Caenorhabditis elegans: one gene and its partner. The protein of the gene in region 2 interacts with the protein of the main gene of each other region in a pairwise test. Each region holds a gene or a part of one and is shown on either strand. Other genes may lie near its edges.

What was found.
Region 1: the proteins of F56C3.9 (region 2) and B0303.7 interact in a two-hybrid assay, tested with the Caenorhabditis elegans proteins (one large-scale study listed by BioGRID).

Annotation. Positions count from the first base shown.
Region 1 is NC_003281.10:8,686,984-8,696,990, forward strand, and holds the start of B0303.7 (SH3 domain-containing protein), read left to right. Parts: upstream 1-6,638; 5' UTR 6,639-6,671; coding exon 6,672-6,759; intron 6,760-9,961; exon of another isoform or gene 9,962-10,007. Other genes in the region: hadb-1 (putative 3-ketoacyl-CoA thiolase), read right to left, coding at 1-50, 118-442, 500-959, 1,009-1,180; B0303.4 (transmembrane and ubiquitin-like domain-containing family 1 protein), read left to right, coding at 2,978-3,019, 3,131-3,265, 3,352-3,521, 3,569-3,697, 3,759-3,855, 3,904-3,958, 4,225-4,755, 5,219-5,707 and 1 more.
Region 2 is NC_003284.9:1,388,979-1,398,985, forward strand, and holds F56C3.9 (BTB domain-containing protein), read right to left. Parts: upstream 5,014-10,007; 5' UTR 5,010-5,013; coding exon 4,882-5,009; intron 4,824-4,881; coding exon 4,693-4,823; intron 3,653-4,692; coding exon 3,566-3,652; intron 3,511-3,565; coding exon 3,435-3,510; intron 3,384-3,434; coding exon 3,254-3,383; intron 3,012-3,253; coding exon 2,943-3,011; 3' UTR 2,822-2,942; downstream 1-2,821. Other genes in the region: H39E20.1 (Transposase), read right to left, coding at 7,375-7,451, 7,501-7,573; ZK402.5 (SPK domain-containing protein), read right to left, coding at 9,846-10,007.

The DNA of each region.
Region 1 (10,007 bases), on a different chromosome or scaffold from region 2:
AGCTTTGGAATGACGTAGGCTGGAGAGAGCAGGAGCTGATCTTTTGGATCCTGAAATATATTGGAAATTAAAAACGCTCGAAAGCTACTAAAAACAACAAAACTATTATAATCTTACCTGTGCAACATACAAATAGTCTCTCAAGTAGGCTTTTGGCTTGTATCCGTTGGCAAGAGCATACTCCTCAGTCATGATAAGAGCAGCAGAAGCACCATCGGTCAAGTAAGATGCGTTGGCAGCAGTCACAGTTCCGTGTGGCTTCACAAATGCTGGTTTCAGAGATGACAGCTTCTCAAGAGTGGATACACGAATTCCGTTGTCCTCTTTGATTGTCTTTGGCTTTTTTCCGTCTAAGAATACTGGAACAACATCAGTGAATTTTCCATTCTTAGCTGCTTCCGAAGCAAGAGTGTGGGAGCGGATTGCGAATTCGTCTTGTTCTCTGAAAATAGAAATAAGTAGACATTAATTAATTTCCCAGAAATTTAAGGAAAATTACCTTCTAGAAACATTGAACGCGGCAGCAAGTCTGTCTCCACTGTGTCCCATTGTCTCACCAGTTGAGAACTCAGCGACCGCTGGCAGTTCAGGAGAAAGCAAATTTTTGACAATTTGTCCTCCAATCTTCAACTTCGATGGAACATCTTTTGCTTTATTCATTCCCAACATAGCCTTTCTGGCGTTTCGATTGTAACGAATTGGCACATCAGACAACAATTCGACTCCTCCGGCGATGATTGCATTTGCATTTCCAGTGGCGAGCATTCCCATTCCAGTGGTCATTGCGACATTTGATGAGATGCATGCAAGAGTGACAGTGTGAGCTGGGATCTTATCTGGAACACCAGCGAGAAGAGCAGCTTCTCTAGCAATGTTACTGGTCTTGCATTCTTGAATAACTGTTCCACAAATAATGTGATCGAGTTGTTCATATGGCAGCTTTGTCTTCTCCACTAGTGCTGAAAAATGAAAAATTAATTTTCCTTATTTACAAATTTCTATACAAACCCTTGATAGCTTCTTTCTGTAAGTCAACAGCCATTAAATCCTTGAAAACAGTTCCAGAAACGACAAATGGAGTACGAACTGCATCGACAAGTACAATATTTGGCATATTTTTCTTGGCGACTGCCGAAGCGGCACGAGCAGTCCCGAACGAAGTGCTAACTGCGCGGAGCATCTTCTGAAAAGAAATCAGATTTAATTTTGGAGGTGGTTTATTTTTGAGAATAAATCTCCAAAGAACAAAAAATGCGTTCAAGAAAATAATTTAACGTACGAAAGAGAACAAAAAACAAATATGGAATCAAATTTGGTTCGCTACGTGTACTCTTATCATTTCATCATTGCCTACGGACAGAAGGGGACAAAGTATTTTCCCTCTCCTTTGAAAGAACACAGCAGAATAATTTTACACCCTTTCTTGATTTTTGAGAATATTAAACCAGACTTACTCTATTTGAAACGACAGCAGAACAAAAGCAACGGATCAAAAAATGAAATGAATTTAAATAATTTCTACATTGAAAAACCAAGAATTTAGAGAAACATTTAAAAAAAAGAAACGTGGCCGATCAGAAAAGAAAAAAATATATACTACAAAGTTCACAAAAAAAAATTCTTAAAAGCTGAAGAAAGAAAGTTCAAAATGTTAAAATCCAAAAAGAAATAATCAAACTAGAAAACAAATACACAATCGATAGATATAGTGTAGGTCACCAACACACAAGATAATAAGTGATGAGAGGAGGAGACGAGACGAACACAACAAGAAAACCTGGCTGTTGTGGCCTCCCATGCGCCGCCCGTCCGTCCGTCTGGACTTTGTACCTTGATAAATTCTCTATGTAGGCTACGGGTAGATAACTAATTTTACAGACACGAGGTGCAAATTGAACAGGAAAACGTGGTATGGGTTTGGAAAAAGGCAGGATGGGAAAAATTACGGGCAGTTTAATTTGAGCTGAGAGAAAGTTATTTGAAGGAGGACGAACGGTTCTGGGTTTAGCGCTTGTATAGGCTCAATATGTGCCAAAATAAACGAATTTCGTATTAAGACTTCTCAAAAATGTATCAAACATTTCTCGGTGGTTCAAAATAAATATAATATTAAACTCCTAAATATTTTACACATTTTCTCGTTTATCTCAAATTATTTCGTTGGTTAAGTAAATTTTAAGCGTAGAGGAATGCAAATTTTGTTAGTCTTTTGTTATTTTAGTATATTTATACAAAAAATCGAGGAAATATCAAATAAAATCAAGATATTCTGATGAAAAATGTTGAAAAAAAAGTTTTGATAAATAAAATAAACTCTCGCGCTTATCGGGTGTACTACGGTATTAAAGGCACATAAGCGTATGTCTGACGTTGGGTCTCGCAGCGTTTGCAATAACCAGCTGGAAGGGAGAAATGGAAATTAAATTTTTTTTAACGAAAAGATCTGTTCCATTGTTATTTTTCTAGTTTTTTCCCACTTTTTCTCAAAAGTTTTTCTCTAATTCGAATACTTTTCGTTTAAAAGTTTGCCAAATTCATTTTGAGGTACATAAATTAATAGCAAAATCACAAATATCACAACAAATACAATTAATTCATTTTTCCTTTCTTTTTTCACTTCACTCAACACCTTTTTCGATTCTTATCTTCTTTCGAATTCTTTTTCTAATCTACTCTCTCATTTCGCCTCTTTATAAATACTACTTTCTTACAGGCTAAATAGTTTTTTTTCACAAAAATAATTTCTGAAAAAACAAATTTTAAATTCTTTTTATAAAATTTAACAAAAAGGTTGTTTTCCTAAAAAAGCGTGCAATTGCCCGTCGATTAGTGCGCTTTCACGTATCGATTCTCTGCGCCAAGGAACATTTTAACCAACACGCTTCTCTTTATTTCTCTCAGTCTCTCAAGCATCATCTGATTTCATATTATTCTTCACTTTATTCTTCATTATTCCAGACAACACAACTAGACAAAAATGAATGCATTAATTGTTAAATCTGCACTCGAATATTTAGAGGTAAGTTGAACATTTATTGATTTTTTGAACCCTTTTCCCATTTTTTCATTGTTATGAAAAAGTGTCAAATTGAAATTGTTTAACTTCAAATCTAAAAAAAACTATTTTCAGCTAAGCACAGTCGTCGCAATATTAATCATCATAGCATGTGCACTTTTATCATATCAAATCTCTGCTCGAAGGCCTTTATATTATAACTTATTTGTTGTAGAAATGCACACTTGGACAACTAGGAGGATGGTGCAGGTAATTTTATTTAAATATTAAAAGAAAAAAAAAACGAAAAACACTATTGGAAAATTTCGAATAAATTTCTAAACTTCAAAATACAGGTTCTTCATCTCGGTCAAGAGTTCACACCGCCCGTCACATGGGAACGATTAGTTCAACGAATGAGGGCAAGAGCTCCACGAATTCAAGGAGAGCAAAGAGTGGCAATTTCTGATACAAATATTGTGATACAGTCGCCGAATACGGTTATTGATTCACCAGCTCCTGCAAGGTTTACTTTTAAAAATGTATTCAAATGTTTAATATTTCCAATTCCAGATCACCAGACGTTGACCTAATAACATTATGGGACATTGAAATGCCGCCACCGAGTGCTGGTCACGTGCCTGACGCCACAAGGGATAGTCAGTATGCTGCTGCAGCGGCGATAGCAATTTTAGCTAGAGGGTTAGTTTTTAAAAAGTTTAATTTAAGGTTTAAAACATTCAAAAATTCTGTATTTTTCCAGAGACGACGCATCTTTGATGTCTCGAACGTACAGGCCTCAACTTCGTCCACCAACAGAACGATCTGGAAATACTCGAGTTGATGAGTCGAGACCCAGCGTAAATGAAGAAAAAAAATTGATTTTAAAATAATTTATTTTGGTTCAGGAAAATTCTTCACGACATGATTACGTTACTACAGACGTTACGTATACGACTCCATGTAAGTTTTTCATATTGCTTTTTTTCGAAACTTTACCCGAACAATTTTAGCTAAAACTTCAAATATGACATAAAATCGACAATTTAATATTTATTTTCAATTTTTTGTAGGAAAAGCCTGAAAATTAGAGAAGAGATGAAACTAATTCATTTAAAAAATTAGAATCAGTTTCTTAATTTTTTAACAGTTACATTCGGTCATTCCGGCCTTTTTTATAATTAAAAGTAAAATCCCCGCCTGAAAATTAAAAATGTATGGATTTTCAGCAATAAACCCGGATATGCAACATCATCTTTCAACAAGAACGTCAAATGTAACACAAACTCAGCCTCCAACAAATCAAGTGTTCGCTGATACACCAGAGCTTACAGAAGATATTGTGATAGATCAACAGGAAGAAGATGATGAAGAGGATGACGATGACGATAGTTCAGATGATGCAATAATAGAAGATCATGAAGAAGAAGAAGGTCAAGATGATGATGAAGAAACTGAAATTGAAATTGATAGAGGAGGTCCTATTGAAGAAATTGAGCAAGTCGAAGTTGAGCAAAATGAGGATCCGCCACTGGATGATCAAGAAGTAGAAGCTCAACCGGAGCAAGTTCTTCAAGAAACTAAAGAATCCGAATTTCCAGTAATCGAAGGACCATCAGAAGGGAAGATTTTGATAAAGCTAAAGTTTATGAATGATACCGAGAAAAACACGTATGCATCACTGGAGGATACTGTAGCAAAGTTCAAAGTAGATCATTTCACAAATCTTGCGAATCAGGTCATACGGCTCATTTATCAAGGTATCTTTAATTTTTTATGTAAAGTAAAAACAGTTAGTAATGTATTTTAAAGTTTAAAAAAATTAATGAAAACAAATGTTTGGCATTTGGCAAAAAAGCTTTTTAAAAAATATTTCAAAAATGATAAAAAATAAGTGAAAACAAAGATCTAACGATTATTTTTTGCGAATTCCATAAAATTTCTGAAAATATAGAACACAATTTTATTGGCCTATATCTAAAGTATTCGTTGAAAGACACAAAAATGTACCTATCGACCGCAATTTATTTTGTTGATAATTTGATAGATTGGAAAAATTGTGAAAACGTGCCACAGTTGAAAGTTTTATAGAATTCCCAAAATTTAATACCACTGGCTCATAATCCTGAAAATCAAATGGAAAAATGAATATTAAAAAAAACTATTTGAAAAAATTAAAAGTCTTTTCTTCAAGCCTAAATAATTTTTAACTGAATTTTTCAGGCCAACTTCTCAGAGAAGATCATCGAACGCTAGAAGAATATGGTCTTCAACCAGGAAGTATAGTTCATTGTCATATTAGTACAACACCATATACACGACCAGGAATAGCAACTCTTCCTCCAATTGTCAATAATGGTTTTCGACGAAGACCTCGAAGATCCGTCAGAGCTCCACGTGACACAACTCCAATGCCGTCGGAAAGTGTTCCAGTAGTTGATGAGAATGTTACAACAGCAAGAAGAAGAGCTGCGCAGGACAGAAATGTTGGACAGATCTATTTACTTTTATCAACAATGGTTCCAATTCTTTCTGGAATTGGATTGGCATTTTTCCGTCCTGATCGAATTCGAGATCTACTTCGGCCAGCCACACTTCTGACGATTAGCCAATGGGTATGCAATTTACTTGTTGATAATGGATTGTTGGAACAAGATGATGATGATCAGGAAACTCATTTGCAAACTTCAACATTATTTTGGATTTTTGGAGGTGATTCTAATTTTCAAAAAAAAACACGTCAAAACGCAATATTTATTACAGGTCAAATGGTCGCAGTGAGCATATTTCTGTACTACTTTCCAGATGTATTTGATCGAGTCGGCTTTTCGATCTTCATTATTGTATTTCTTTACTTCGTTTTTGTGGTTTATTCACGTCAGCGACGACGCCAACCGGATCCTGTTGAGGTTCAAAATGAAATGATGGAAAATCAAATCGTCCAGGAGACTATTCGTCTTCTGTAAATTTTAATTTATATTTCACAGTGAGTTTTTATTTATTAGGAAAAATAAATTAAATTTACTTCAAAAAAACTTTTTAATTAATTGAAAACGAAAAAGTTATGAATTTATTTTCTTTTGAAAAAAGCTTTCGAAAAAAAACCAGAAATATTAATTTTTGCTTTAAAATTGAGTTTCGATTAAAAAGCTAACAAATAAATAGTTGTTTTTATTCAGCAATAGATTTTTCAATTTTCAGATTCTTGTACACTTCAAATCGAAACCATTATGATTCTAGCCACAACAAAATTGCACACAAAATGGGTATCAAAACACTTGGTTTTTTTTTCAAAATTTTCCACTTGAAACGGATCAGACAGAGGATGAGAAGATCCAAACATACACACATCGAATACTGCGAAATTTTATTCAATAATTCTTATTCCCCCCACCCCGTCCGTGTGTTCTGTGTATATTTGACTCGGTTCTTGTTTTTCATCTTTCTTTTGCATCATCATTAGATACTTCACTAGTAATAAATTGGTAGCTTTTATACAATTGTGGACTACAAAAAATACAGTGCTAAAGGATGTTTGATTGTAAACTTCGAAGAAGGCAGCAGCACAATTGAGTTGAGTAAATATGGAGAAAAGTTGGAGGCAAATAAACCCTTCAAGACCCCCTTTGGATTCACTTTTCCACCCAGATAGATAGTTGCTCCAACATTGAGAATAATGGTAAGGCTACCACCTCCAACGCCACCACGGAAGCCTAATATATGTGGGACATCTGGAAATTCAAATGGAATAAATGAGAATATTGGTAAGTTTTTTTTTAAACTTTATGCTGATTTTCAGATGTTTGTGAGATTTTTAGAGAAATAATTAATTCTAAAAATAATTTCGATGTATTTTTAAATGAAAAAAAAAACCACTTTTCGAAATTATAATTTTGAGATAAATTTAATTAACCTGAAAGCAGGATCTGCGAGCGAACGGCAAAATTCGCAAAAATAGGCGGTAGGCAGGTATGTAGGCAGTAAGGCTAGAGGCAGACACGAAAATGTAAATTCCTACGGCAGCTTTATCGGAAAAGTTGAGACGACTAATTTTTTAATAGTGATAAAGAATATGTGCCTTTCAGGAGTACTGTAATTTTCTGCAACGAAAGTCTGAAATTACAGTACCCCTTAAAGGCGCATATTCTTTTGAATCCAGCAAGCATTTGTCGTGTCGAGACCAGGCATCTATTTTTGGCATATGGGTAATATAATTTGATAAGTTGGAAAATATTGAAATTTTTTTTAAATTTCATTAAAAAACATTTGCTGTCACAATTACCACAAAATTTCCACATATTGTTCATAGATTTTTCGTTTTGGAGCCAAGAAAAGGTTCTCGCACTTGTCAGTATGTAGATAATTATAGGAAATCTTGCAATATACAGTGTGGGAAAGTTCTATAGGACCCCCCCTAATTTGAAGGTTTGAGGAACTTCCGAAAATTTTTTCGAAAAACTGCTAATGCCGTTCGTTTTTAAATTGAAAAAAACCTATATACATTTTTTTCCAGAAGTTTATCTCAAAAACTGAGGTCGCGCTGGAAAAAACGTCAAAATCCAGTGTGAAACTTCTATAGGACCCCCCGTTTTTTTTCACGATTTTTACTAAAATCAACAGATTTTGGAATTTTTGACAAAGCTCAAATCAAGTTTGAGTTAGAAATGAGTTCAGATAAGCAGTTTTGACTTTAAAAATTAATACGAAATGTTCTCGTGGGATCTCCAGACTGGTTCTGATTCTTCCGATCTTTGATGTTCAAGTCTGTTTCAAGCTTCCTGGTGCTCTCGGTAATGCAAAAACTTGATAAACTCTCTTTAACAAGTTCCTACTAAAATTCCTAGCACGCACTTTAGATGTTTCGACTGTGTAGTCAAGCTGATTTGGCAAAATATGCAGCAGGAAACAATGGAAGGCTTATCAGGAATCAAATCGTTTTTCTTTGATTACAAGGTTCCATGGGACCAATATTTCAAGTTAAATTGTCCCTCACAGATGTTATTTACTATTTTTTGCGTGAATTATTAAATGTGGAATTGTGGCATGTGTTGTGGCACACATATAGAGGCTGGAAAGCTTACTTCGAAAGCAGTCTAACTTGCAATGCCTCGAGGATCTGCCCTTTCGGACACTGAACGCGCTCAGCTGGATGTTATGAAATTGCTCAATGTGTCCCTGCATGAAATGAGTAGGAAAATTTCCCGTTCTCGACACTGTATTCGCGAGTATCTGAAGGATCCGGTGAGCTACGGTACATCTAAAAGAGCTCCTCGTCGCAAAGCTCTCTCCGTGCGTGACGAACGAAATGTGATTCGTGCTGCCTCCAACTCCTGTAAGACGGCAAGAGATATTCGCAATGAGCTTCAATTGTCTGCTTCAAAAAGGACCATCCTCAATGTCATCAAACGATCTGGTGTAATCGTTCGTCAGAAACTTCGCCCTGCTCCGTTACTCTCTGCAGACCATAAACTCAAGCGATTGGAATTTGCTAAGAACAATATGGGAACGAATTGGAGTAAAGTGAGAATTTAAAAAAGCAAGAGTGAATAATTAGGATCATTGTTTTAGGTTGTCTTCTCCGATGAAAAGAAATTCAATCTCGATGGGCCTGACGGTTGCCGCTACTATTGGCGCGATTTGCGCAAGGAACCAATGGTTTTTTCGAGACGTAATTTTGGAGGAGGAACGGTGATGGTTTGGGGAGCGTTCACGGAGAAGAAGAAGCTTGAGATACAGTTCGTCAGTAGCAAGATGAACAGCACTGACTATCAGAACGTCTTGGAACTGGAGCTCTCCAAATATCTTCGTCACTACTCCAGAAAAGACTTTAGATTTCAGCAGGATAATGCGACAATCCATGTGAGCAACTCAACCCGCGACTATTTCAAGCTCAAGAAGATCAACCTTCTTGATTGGCCAGCTCGAAGTCCTGATCTCAATCCAATCGAAAATTTGTGGGGGATTCTTGTCCGTATCGTGTATGCTCAGAACAAGACTTACCCAACAGTTGCATCGTTGAAGCAAGGAATTCTCGACGCTTGGAAGTCTATTCCGGACAACCAGCTGAAAAGTTTGGTCAGATCAATGGAGGACAGACTGATTGAGATCATCCGCACACAAGGAAACCCGATTAACTATTGATCCTTTCTTGATTTTAGTATATGAATGTTCTGTTGTTGATCAAAAATAACTGCAACTTGTTAATACGCTGTTTCTGACTGGTTTCTTGGGGATGGCGTAAAAATGTTTATGGTGTGTGTGCTAGGAATTTTAGTAGGAACTTGTTAAAGAGAGTTTATCAAGTTTTGGCATTACCGAGAGCACCAGGAAGCTTGAAACAGACTTGAACATCAAAGATCGGAAGAATCAGAACCAGTCTGGAGATCCCACGAGAACATTTCGTATTAATTTTTTAAAGTCAAAACTGCTTATCTGAACTCATTTCTAACTCAAACTTGATTTGAGCTTTGTCAAAAATTCCAAAATCTGTTGATTTTAGTAAAAATCGTGAAAAAAAACGGGGGGTCCTATAGAAGTTTCACACTGGATTTTGACGTTTTTTCCAGCGCGACCTCAGTTTTTGAGATAAACTTCTGGAAAAAAATGTATATAGGTTTTTTTCAATTTAAAAACGAATGGCATTAGCAGTTTTTCAAAAAAATTTTCGGAAGTTCCTCAAACCTTCAAATTAGGGGGGGTCCTATAGAACTTTCCCACACTGTATATTTTATCTATTTAAAACAATAAAAGAAGAAATAACAGGATGCTCTGGAAAGCTATGATGACTCATGCTCGAATGACGTGTCTTTTTTCAATGATTTGTCGAAATATGTGTCCGAGGTGTGTCTAGTCACAACATACATTCGTCACTTTCTCTCATTCTCTCGGCAAACACAAGAGTTTCCATTGCCTATCTGTCTGCGTTTCTATAACTTATACACTCTCTCGTATTCCTAGTCTTTTTCCTTTTTCTTCCATCCATCGATTTCCCCAGTTCTCATTCTTTTTATTT
Region 2 (10,007 bases):
TTTATTCGACAAGTGTATTTTTCCATAGTCATACCCCTCAAGCTTTGTTTAATTATTTTTCTTTTCTTTTTAGTTTATAATGTTTTCCAACACTACTCGAATAATCCCTGTAAGAGTTATCTAAACTGCTGAGATTTGTCTGCTTATACCCCATAATCAGTTGCTAACTTGGAATTTTTCTCCCTTTCTTCACATATTTTGCACATTTAAACCTTCTTAATTTTTAAAAAATTCCCATGAATATCCCATTATTTGCAATAACTATAGTTTCAAATGACTTACTGTTTACTGTGAGAAAATTTTGAATTTGAAGGCGCCGGCGGCATTGGCAAATGCAGTTGCGCAACAGGTGCATGGGAAACTGAAAAAGCAGCTTCCATAAAATTTCAAATCCTGTAGCAAACCCTATTTTTTAAGCCAAATAAAGCACGTAATGATTTTGGAATTCAAGTTTACTAATGAAATATCATAATGTAATGTGAGTCAGGAGGAAAATCATTTTCGCAACTTGCAGAGATCAAGGTACAAATCCAGCTAATTAGTAATATCATGTGAGAGACTTTATTATAAGCCAACTATATACTCGGGTGTCCGGTGGACTATTTCATCAGATAAACTAAGGGATATTCTCTACCTTTTATATATCCACACGTTTCAAAAATACTCAACCTATGTTGTTCTGATCTCATTTGTCTCAGCTAACATATCACATTGTAGGCGGAGTAGTGGTGTTAAAATAACCAAATATCAGTGTAGTAAAAATGTTCTATTAAACTTTTGGAATTTTCTTATTTTTTTATTTTGTTTCATTTTGTTTCAAAAAGTGCCAATTACTGAGTTTTTGGCACTTTAAAAAAACTATAGCATTGTCGCTTGTTTGAACCAGTATAATATTTGGATATTAAATATTCGAAGGTAATTATTAATTACATCTGACCACACTTTAAAATAATTTTTTTTACAATGGAAAAAATTTACTATTTCATCTGGTTATTTTGGCACCATAAGAGTGGTTTTTAAAATATTCCCCACTGGCGCTGCTCTACCTTTAATGAAGCGTTGAAGAGGATAAAAACTGCAATGTGGCATTTTTTTGAACAATTGCAGATCTAGTGCCTATTTCGTGCCTACCAGCTAGCCTATAAATTCACACATTTCTTGTTAAAATCCACGTTAGAATTATTTTTTTTTGTGGTGAATAATTCAGGGCAAGATTGTCAGAGTTTTGTTACCATGCCTATGATGTAACATTTTTTTTTCAAAAACAAAACCGCTCACACTCAAAGTTATGCAACTCAATGTGAATTGCTTTTATGGAAAGGTTACTAACCAACCTTCGTGTTGGCGATTTTGGAAATAGATTACTTGATCCTATTTCTGAACAAAATATTGATAAAGCCTAAAATTAAACTGAAATGGCCGTACTCTTAAAGGTGGAGTAGCGAATTTTTAGACGTTGTTTTTTTAATCCCACAGTGGCCCAAAACTATCGAATTTTGTAATAAGGGGGTTTTATAATTTTTCAAAAAAAATTGTTATGAGAACCACTAGGAATTATTCATTTAAATTTTTAGATACAATACTTCCCATCGGCGTTCCCAATCCAAATTGCGCAACACAGCCAGCGGCGTCTTTTCCAACTACGCAACCTTTTACTGTCTGAATTTTTGACAATGGGAAACAACATTTTCTGAAGTCAAAGAAAGTACCGCTTTTTTAATTTGTGTACTTTTTTTGAACTTACGGTAATTTCAAAAAGGCGGAACCTGAGACTAGAAATGGGCGGGGCCGCCAGGCTGTATAAAAAGCCTTTACTTCAAGCTCCAGATTAAGTCCGAGCCAAAACACGGGCCTTATTACTTTATAGCTACATTTATTCTTACTGTCCTCGAATACAAACTGGCGGTTTGCATTCACTTACATTTATAAGACAAAAATGCAAGTGATACCAGACCGCTAGTTTGTAAAAGGGATAATTTTATGTGAAATTCACTAAATCTATGTATAAGGCAAATAAATATGTATTAGAAATTAATAGTTCTGCAGAAAAACTACTTCAATAGAGTATACAAAAAAGCTCCATCTCAGATTTTTTTACGAATTGAAAAAAAACAGATAACCGAAAATTTAACCGAAAAAAATTTTTTCAAATAACTCCAAATTTTCCCCTGATCCCGAATACCGGTGTGAAAAATTCAAAAAAAAAGTTCCTTGATTTTATATTCGAGCTTGAAATCGCAATTTTCATTTGTGCCCCGGATTCTTTTTTTAAATACGCGCCAAAATGCATTCTCATTGGAGCGCACTTGCATCACTTAATTTTCTCCGTATATGGTTACTTGTTTCAGTTTTTCAGCTATTGTCATCCAATTTTATGAAATTAAAATGTTCAATTGACACAAAAGAATATATTTTTCAAAAAAAAAACTATAAAATACGACAAAAATGGATGAAAATAGCTGAAAAACTGAAAAAAGTAACCATATAGGGAGAAAAGTAAAATGAGGCAAACACCATCTATTTTCATTTTCTGCATTTTCTTTCAGAAGATTCTGCAATATTCCAGAATTTTTTTCAAAATTTTCAAAATTTCCATTTACAAAGAGCTTTTTCGAAAATAGTTTTGCTTAGAAATGGCCTGGGTTCTACTCTGTTTTCCGAAGCTACAGTAATTCTACAGTACATTTACAGTACCTTTTAAGTATCAAAGTTTTTTAATTGAAATTGTAGCTCAAATTCATAAGCTTCTAATAATGCCGTTGAAAAATTACAACAAGGTAGGTTTTCAAAAAAAAAGAAAAGAAATCGTTCTGAAAAAGTTATTGCAAGTATATTTTATTGAAAAAAAAACAAATATACATATATAGAGAACATGCAAAATTAGAAAAAAAAACTAGAATTTTGTTAATAATAATTGAATGCAAATGCAAAAATGTAGTAAATCAAACATAGGCGGAATAAGGAGTGTGATCCCAGTCAAAGAACATTTGTGGCCGTGGCTTCTCGGTATACTGAAAAAATTTTTTGAGTTTGCCAAAAATGTTCTCATAATAATTGAATTCCCCAGCAAAGTTGTTTCTCGGAAAAGTTGAGTTTCCCGCCAAAATTTTTTTTGTAAGAAAATTTGAATTTCCGGCAAAATTGACGAGAAAATTGTCTTTCGAGAGGCCGGGTGTTTGTAAAATTGAATAGGTGGTAGGCAGGCACTCATGCAGGCAAATAAGTAGGTTTTTTTCAAATTGTGAAATCTTACCGGTCTATATTGCAAAATCTTCTTTGTGAAAAACGACTGAACATCTGAATCCGTGATTTCTTGTACAAGCCTATCCACAACTAACGGGTTATCAATGAGCGCGATTTTTTTGAAAACCACGTCAATTTCGCTGAAAGTCATTCACTAGAATATAGTTAGCTTCCCGAAAAGTCTAGATTACCTGTAATTCTGACTGTGAAGTAGGTAGCAAAGTTGGACCAACAACTCGGTGTCATATATTTCGTTTTGGAAGGCTTCTGGAAATATTTTAGTTTAGAGTTTACGGGTTTCATTTAAATAAATTTTTCTTACCACTATTTAAATACTTGTGAACTTCCCGTTTAACCCACGGGAAGACGAGGCGGTCCGAGAAATATACTAGTGGTGTGATGTTATGTTCTGAAAAATTAAGGGGGTTTTCAAGTTTACAAGTATTGTGAATAAATTTAGAATTTAAATTGAAGGTGGATTCACCCAAGTGTGGAAAATTCCAAAACTGTAGTAGTACTTTAAAAATAACTCAGGTTCTGTTACATAAAAATTTGGAAGTGTTTCAAATATGTTTTACTGTACATTCAAAGGTGATGTACCGAAATCTGGGAAATATTCTTAAATGACTCCAAATTTTTCCCTTAATCTGAATATCTAATTTAAAAAATTTTAAAAAAATTCCCTGATTTTTTTATTGAGAATGAAATCGCGAATTTCATTTACGCCCCCCCCCCCCCCCATGAGATTTTTCAAATGCGAAAAAAAATAGCTGAAAACTGAGAGAAATAAAAATTGATGCAAAAAATCGAATGTGGCAACTGCGCTCCAATGAGAATTTATTTTGGCGCGCATTTGAAAAATAACTTGGGTGCACAATTGAAAATCGCGATTTCAAGCTCAAATATAAAATCAGGGATTTTTTTTTCGAATTTTTTCACTCAAATATTCGGAATCAGGGGAAAATTTGGAGTCATTTAAGAATATTTCCCAGATTTCGGTACTCCACCTTTAAAACTTGGAACCGGTTTTTTAAAATTATTTTTTTGAGAACAAAATTCACATGCTGTCAGAATATTCGGAATATTTTTGAAATTTTAGCTGAATTTTTTGAAGAAAAACGAAAAATTTTGGAGTTGCTTTGTGCACAAAATGCTTCATATTACCATATTTGAGAATAAAATAAAAAATTAAAATTTGCAAGAAATCAACTCAAAATGGCAAAATTTAAAACATGTTGGAAAACGTAAAAATATATTTTTGAGTAACAAAATTGGATTTTGATATAAACGAAAAATAAAACAGTGTAATTTTCTACCTTTGAAATATAAAAACTTGAAGAAAAATAATATTTATACAGATACTTAAAAATTAATTCATAAATAATTTGTTTTAAATTTATTTAAAAACACTGAGTCACAATAATATTCAGTCAAAAAAAGCTAACTTACGATTAATAGTTCTGTCAAATTCAAAACCATCTGGGCACACATATGACAGAAAAACTACTAGATCCTCTGCAAAAACATCATTCAAATTAACTTTCTCAGCTGTCATTTCGGAGTAGAAGCCAGTGCGTAGTCTGCAAAATTTACATTTCTTTTTTTTTTCAGAAAAAAACGATGTTTTATTAAACTTACATATGAAAATACTCGGAGAGCTCTGCCAGGTAGTTGAGGTTCACGTAAATTGTGTCGGATTGAGTATTGATTTGGAATTTCCGAAGAGCAGTTTCAGTGGAGAACATGTGCATTTTTTGTTGAGTCATTTTCCTAAAAAAAATGTTTTGAATCAGTGGTGTGAGAAAATTAAAAAAAATATAGATAAAACTGAATCAAGAAAAAGTTTTTTTTTCGCCAAGAAAAAAAATACAAAAAAAGGAAAAAACACGTGGTGCCAGGCTGTCCCATCACGGTTTGATCTACGAAATGTGCGGTAATTTTTTGCGAAAATATATGTGACGTCAGCACGTTCTTAACCATGCAAAATCAGTTGAGAACTCTGTATCGGAGAAATCCCGCATTTTTTGGAGATCTACGTAGATCAAGCCAAAATGAGACAATCTGACACCACGAGAACAACGAAATAAAAAACAGTTTGAAATTGTTATTTTGATTAAATTTCCACTTTTAATTTTTTTTTTCAAATTATAGGTAAAATTTTAGTCTGAACAAAAAAAACTGTTCCGAAATTTGGACTTTAAGAAATGAAAAAAAAAATGTGTTTGCCTGATACGTTATCAGTCGGGTACGCTTAAAACAATAGCCTCAAAAAAATAGAGAATAAAGTCTCAAAAGTTTGTTTGTTTTTCCGCCTCCCCCCCCCCCTCCCCCAACTTATGATGATATTACATCAGTCTCTGAAATGTCCCACCTCCCTCCCCTATTTTCTCTTTCTGTGAACAATAGAAATCCGGAATTTCTGTCGTCAGATGATGATAGACATCTAACTTCTTACACTAAACGACTAGACACCACGGGTGTTCGTTACGGAGAGTGATGTAATTGGGGAGTCTTTTTTTTGATAGCTCATGTATGTATATATATCGGTGGTTTTTGGATATATTTTTAAAGATGAAGTCGCGCTAGTAGGAATTTTGTTTAAATACACTTGTAATAACCCAAAATGACCAAATATCATAATAAAACACTCAGTTTTGGCAAATTTCCAAAATTTTAAATAAATATTTGCTTTTGAGGAAATCCAAAGCAATCTCGCATGTTCCAACCCCTACAATGTTTTAATACAAATAATTGAATCAGAATTAAAGTTTTAAAATATAGGAAAAAAAATTTTTTTTTTTGGTCGACTTCAAAAATTATGAGTGGCAAAAACTGAGTAATTGTCACTTTTTGACAGTAAATAAAAAAATTTCAAAAAAGGCTTGAAAACTTTTATAATGATATTCGGTCATTTTGGGATCATAGAAGTGGTTCTTAACAATATCCCCACAGGCGCACTCCACCTTTAAAAAATTGTTCAAAGTAAAATTGTGGGTGTTAAAATTTCTAGGGAAAGCTTTTTTAAGGCATTTTTTTTAACTCTACACATTATAAAAATTGTTAGAAATTAGCAGAAAAACCCGAATTAGAGCCAAGAATTTACCGACATAAATTCAGAATTAAAAGCAATTGAAACAGTCAAATATCTGTGAAAAACTGTATTAAAAAACCGCGAATTCTAATTTTCTAATTAAGAAAGTGAGAAATAGAAAAACTAAAAACTAAAAAAAAATTATTTTTAATTTTTAAAATTAAAAAAAAACCAACTTTAACTATGGAACTCCGAGTTCACATTTTCATGAAAAAGTGATTATTTTGTCATTTTCAAAGTATTTAAAAAAACCTTTTTTGGCTAAATTTTTTTTTCATTTTGAAATCGCGAAATTTTTTTGAAAACATTTTTTCGTTCAATTTTTTTTTCTTTTTTTTAAATTCAAATTTTATTAAGCGTATGCGAAAAATTAAATATGTTGCATTTTAAACCTTGAAACAATTTTTCAAATTAGAAAAAAGGTTGTTGTTAAATAAAACTTAAAAATCAAAACAAAAACTTGTGATCCAAAAAAACGAAAACCAGATAAACATCAATATTTTTCCACACGTTTTGTTTTTTAAAGATCTATTATTAGTCGGTCAAAATCCACAAAACAAGGATCACCATTGGAAAATAAAATAGAAGAAAACAAAAATTGTTCATTGCTCCCTCCTAGATCAGTTATCACTGAACTCTTGCACTTGGCTGTATATTTCCGGGTGCAACGAATCACTAGTCTGGTGGTCATTGTAAAATCCCATGAAATCAGCTGCAACGGGGGTTTAGAGAAAGATTGCTATCTTTCTTATCACTTGATGAGAGAACGTTCAAAATGACGTGGAGAGTGGAGAACATGATTCTCACGAGACTTTTCCGTGAGTTTAGCAGGGGGAAATAATGATGACTGGACTAGATTTTGTGGTGTCTTACAATACTTGTTAAAAAATGATAAATAAATAAAAATTAGGTTCCAGACGTTGCGACACCGAGAAGTTGAAAAAAAACTGAATTCAGATAGCAGGAAGACTTATTTTCTTTATTTGAAACTACATGAATTTGAATTAAAAGTACATTTTATTTAAAAAAAAAAAGGAAAATTAATATTCTGCCGTTCCTGGTGCCAATCTCGCCACTTTTATGTTCTTTTTTTCGCTATGCTTTTTCCATCCAATATCTGAAATTTTTACAATTATAACATGAAGCTTGACTTTTAAAAAACTTACTTGCTCCGATAGAGTCTGGGCCATTATCCCGATAGAATTTGTATCGAAACAAGTTCACAACAAATTGGGGCATGAGGTGTGCTCATTGAAGAAGAATCGGTAGAAGTCTGAAAAGAATGATTTGAAGATAGAGTAGCGCCGGTGAGGTCCTAGTTGGCTTAAATTGATTCAAAAAATTCTAGATTTTTTTATAATTTTTTAAAGTCAAAGTTTTGGCAATTTTCAAATTGTTGAAAGCATGAGCTTTTAAGAAAATCGTGAAAAATTGTTTTTTTGGGGTTTGAGGACAAAAGCCCGGAAAGTGAAATAAGGTACTTACCTAGAGTTTGATAACTTCTCCACTCAATCAATCGCTCAGCATTTAGTATCAGCTTGCGGCTACTTTCGTTGAGCCGCTTCCTCCTGATCTTCCATGTTCTCCTGCTGAACCACTGAACTCCTTCATTTCTCTTCATTTTTTCTCAGTGCGACTCGTGTTGCTCGAAGGAACTGGCGCTGGAGTCTATCAGAGTTTTCAAAAAAGTTAGTATTTTTTGGTTGAGCCGCTTCCTCCTGATCTTCCTTGATCTCCTGCCGAATCACTCAAAAGGAACGAGACTGATTGTTGTTCTCCCGGCGAAACTGTAGTCCTTGGAACTTTTAGGTTTTCCTCCTCAATTGAGCACAGTCAAGATCCATAGATTCCTCTAGGTATTCCACATTTTCAGCTTGAGCATCGTGATGGTTGTTTGACGCCAAAGAAGTTTCCATCGCCTTTGGAGTGTTGGGACCACAAAGTGCTACAACTTTCTTTTTTTTCCTCAGCCAGACTCGTGCTGTTGGAAAGCAACGACAGTTTTCTTCCTCAATTTCTTGAGCACAGTCAAGTTCCATGCATTCCTCTAGGTTTTCCACATTGGCGCTTGAGTCCATCTAAGTTAGGCTTCTTTGGTTGATCCGCTTCCTACTGCTCTTCCTTGATCTCCTGCTTGATCACTTTGAAGGAACAAGTCGGTCTCATCCACTTCCTCCATTTTGTCTCAGCCAGACTCGTGTTGTTTGACACAAGGAAGTTTCCTGAAGAGCGAGGGGTAGCACAGGAAGAGTACCACCAGATTTGGCAGAGGCGTTGTGGTCTTGGTTGAGCATTCTGTAAACTTGAAAAAATTCATTCAATATAACAAGTAATGGTTTGATAATGAAGAAAAAACTACCATGAAACACAAAAAAAAATTCGATAAAGAAGTGGAAACTAGCTAATAAGAATAAAGAAAGAATGCAAGAAGCAGTGAGCAAATGCCTGTCGGACCCCACATCCACAAACAGAATGTAGAGCGCGTTAAAACAAAAAAGAGAAAAAAAAGCTCGAAAATAAAAGAAACTCCGGTTTTTATACTGGCTGGAAGGGAGTGAGGCCGGCGGCGACGCACACTCAAAATGAGAATACGCGCGCGCGCGGTGGGTCAAAACAAAAGAAATGGATCAAAAGCTTATAAGTCTAGACAGCGATCTCGGTGAAAAGTGAGCGACGCGGCGACTTCAGATTGGCAACGGTTTTATAGAAGAGGGTCACCACCAGTGACCCGAGTAAGATAAAAAATGGTTGTGAATGCAGAATGTTGCAGTGCAGCTGCTGTCGTCAGTGTAATGTAAACATAGTAGTAAAGCCATTTTTTCCTACGCACCCAGATGATTCCTTTTAGTTGGAAAGAAAGAGAGAAAGTTCGAATATTATAATCTAAAAAATAATAAAATTAAAATTCAGCTAATTTCACTCGGTATATTAAAAATTCATATTTACTTTTATTGTTTTTTTAACGGGCAATTCAAATATCTGTAGTGTTGAGTTTTGTATTATATTTTGGTGAAATATGTACTGCAAAATACAAGAAATTAATTAGGTTCATTCATAGAGAACACTTTAAAAATCTAGGAAACGGTAAATAAACTCCCAAGAATTACAAGTATCATTATAACAAAAATTATTCTTTCTGGCCACAGCATTTCCTCTATCGTTTCCATTTCTGCATCAATCACATCAGCCATCCCGAATGTCCTTAACAACTGAAAAAAAACAGTTAAAAATTCTAATGAAAAATTCTTTCTTAGGGTGAAAAATACGTTCTGGGTAAAAAATCATAACGTTTTTCCTATCGATTTTCCCGATTTTTTGGGAACTCGTTTTTCAGGCTCTCGCCTGTCCAATGGTGCACCTTGTCAGCTTTTATCTGAGTTTTGATAGGTGGATTTCGCATAAATTGGGCAAACATGCAAGAATTGAAAAAAAAAACCATTAAAAATGTTTTCGAATTTTTTTTTGTTGGACGAACTTTATTGATTTTTCATACAACTTTAAAAAAAAAGACCTAACATAGTCTAAGGAAACTTAGAACACACAAATCATTCGAATTTGAAATGTCAAAAATTCTTTTGAAAAATGGGGGGTGGGAGGGGGGAGGGGATGAGTTCAACCCTCCACCACGGGAAATTTTTTTGCGAATTTTTTCATCCCAAAAAAAAAAGGAAAA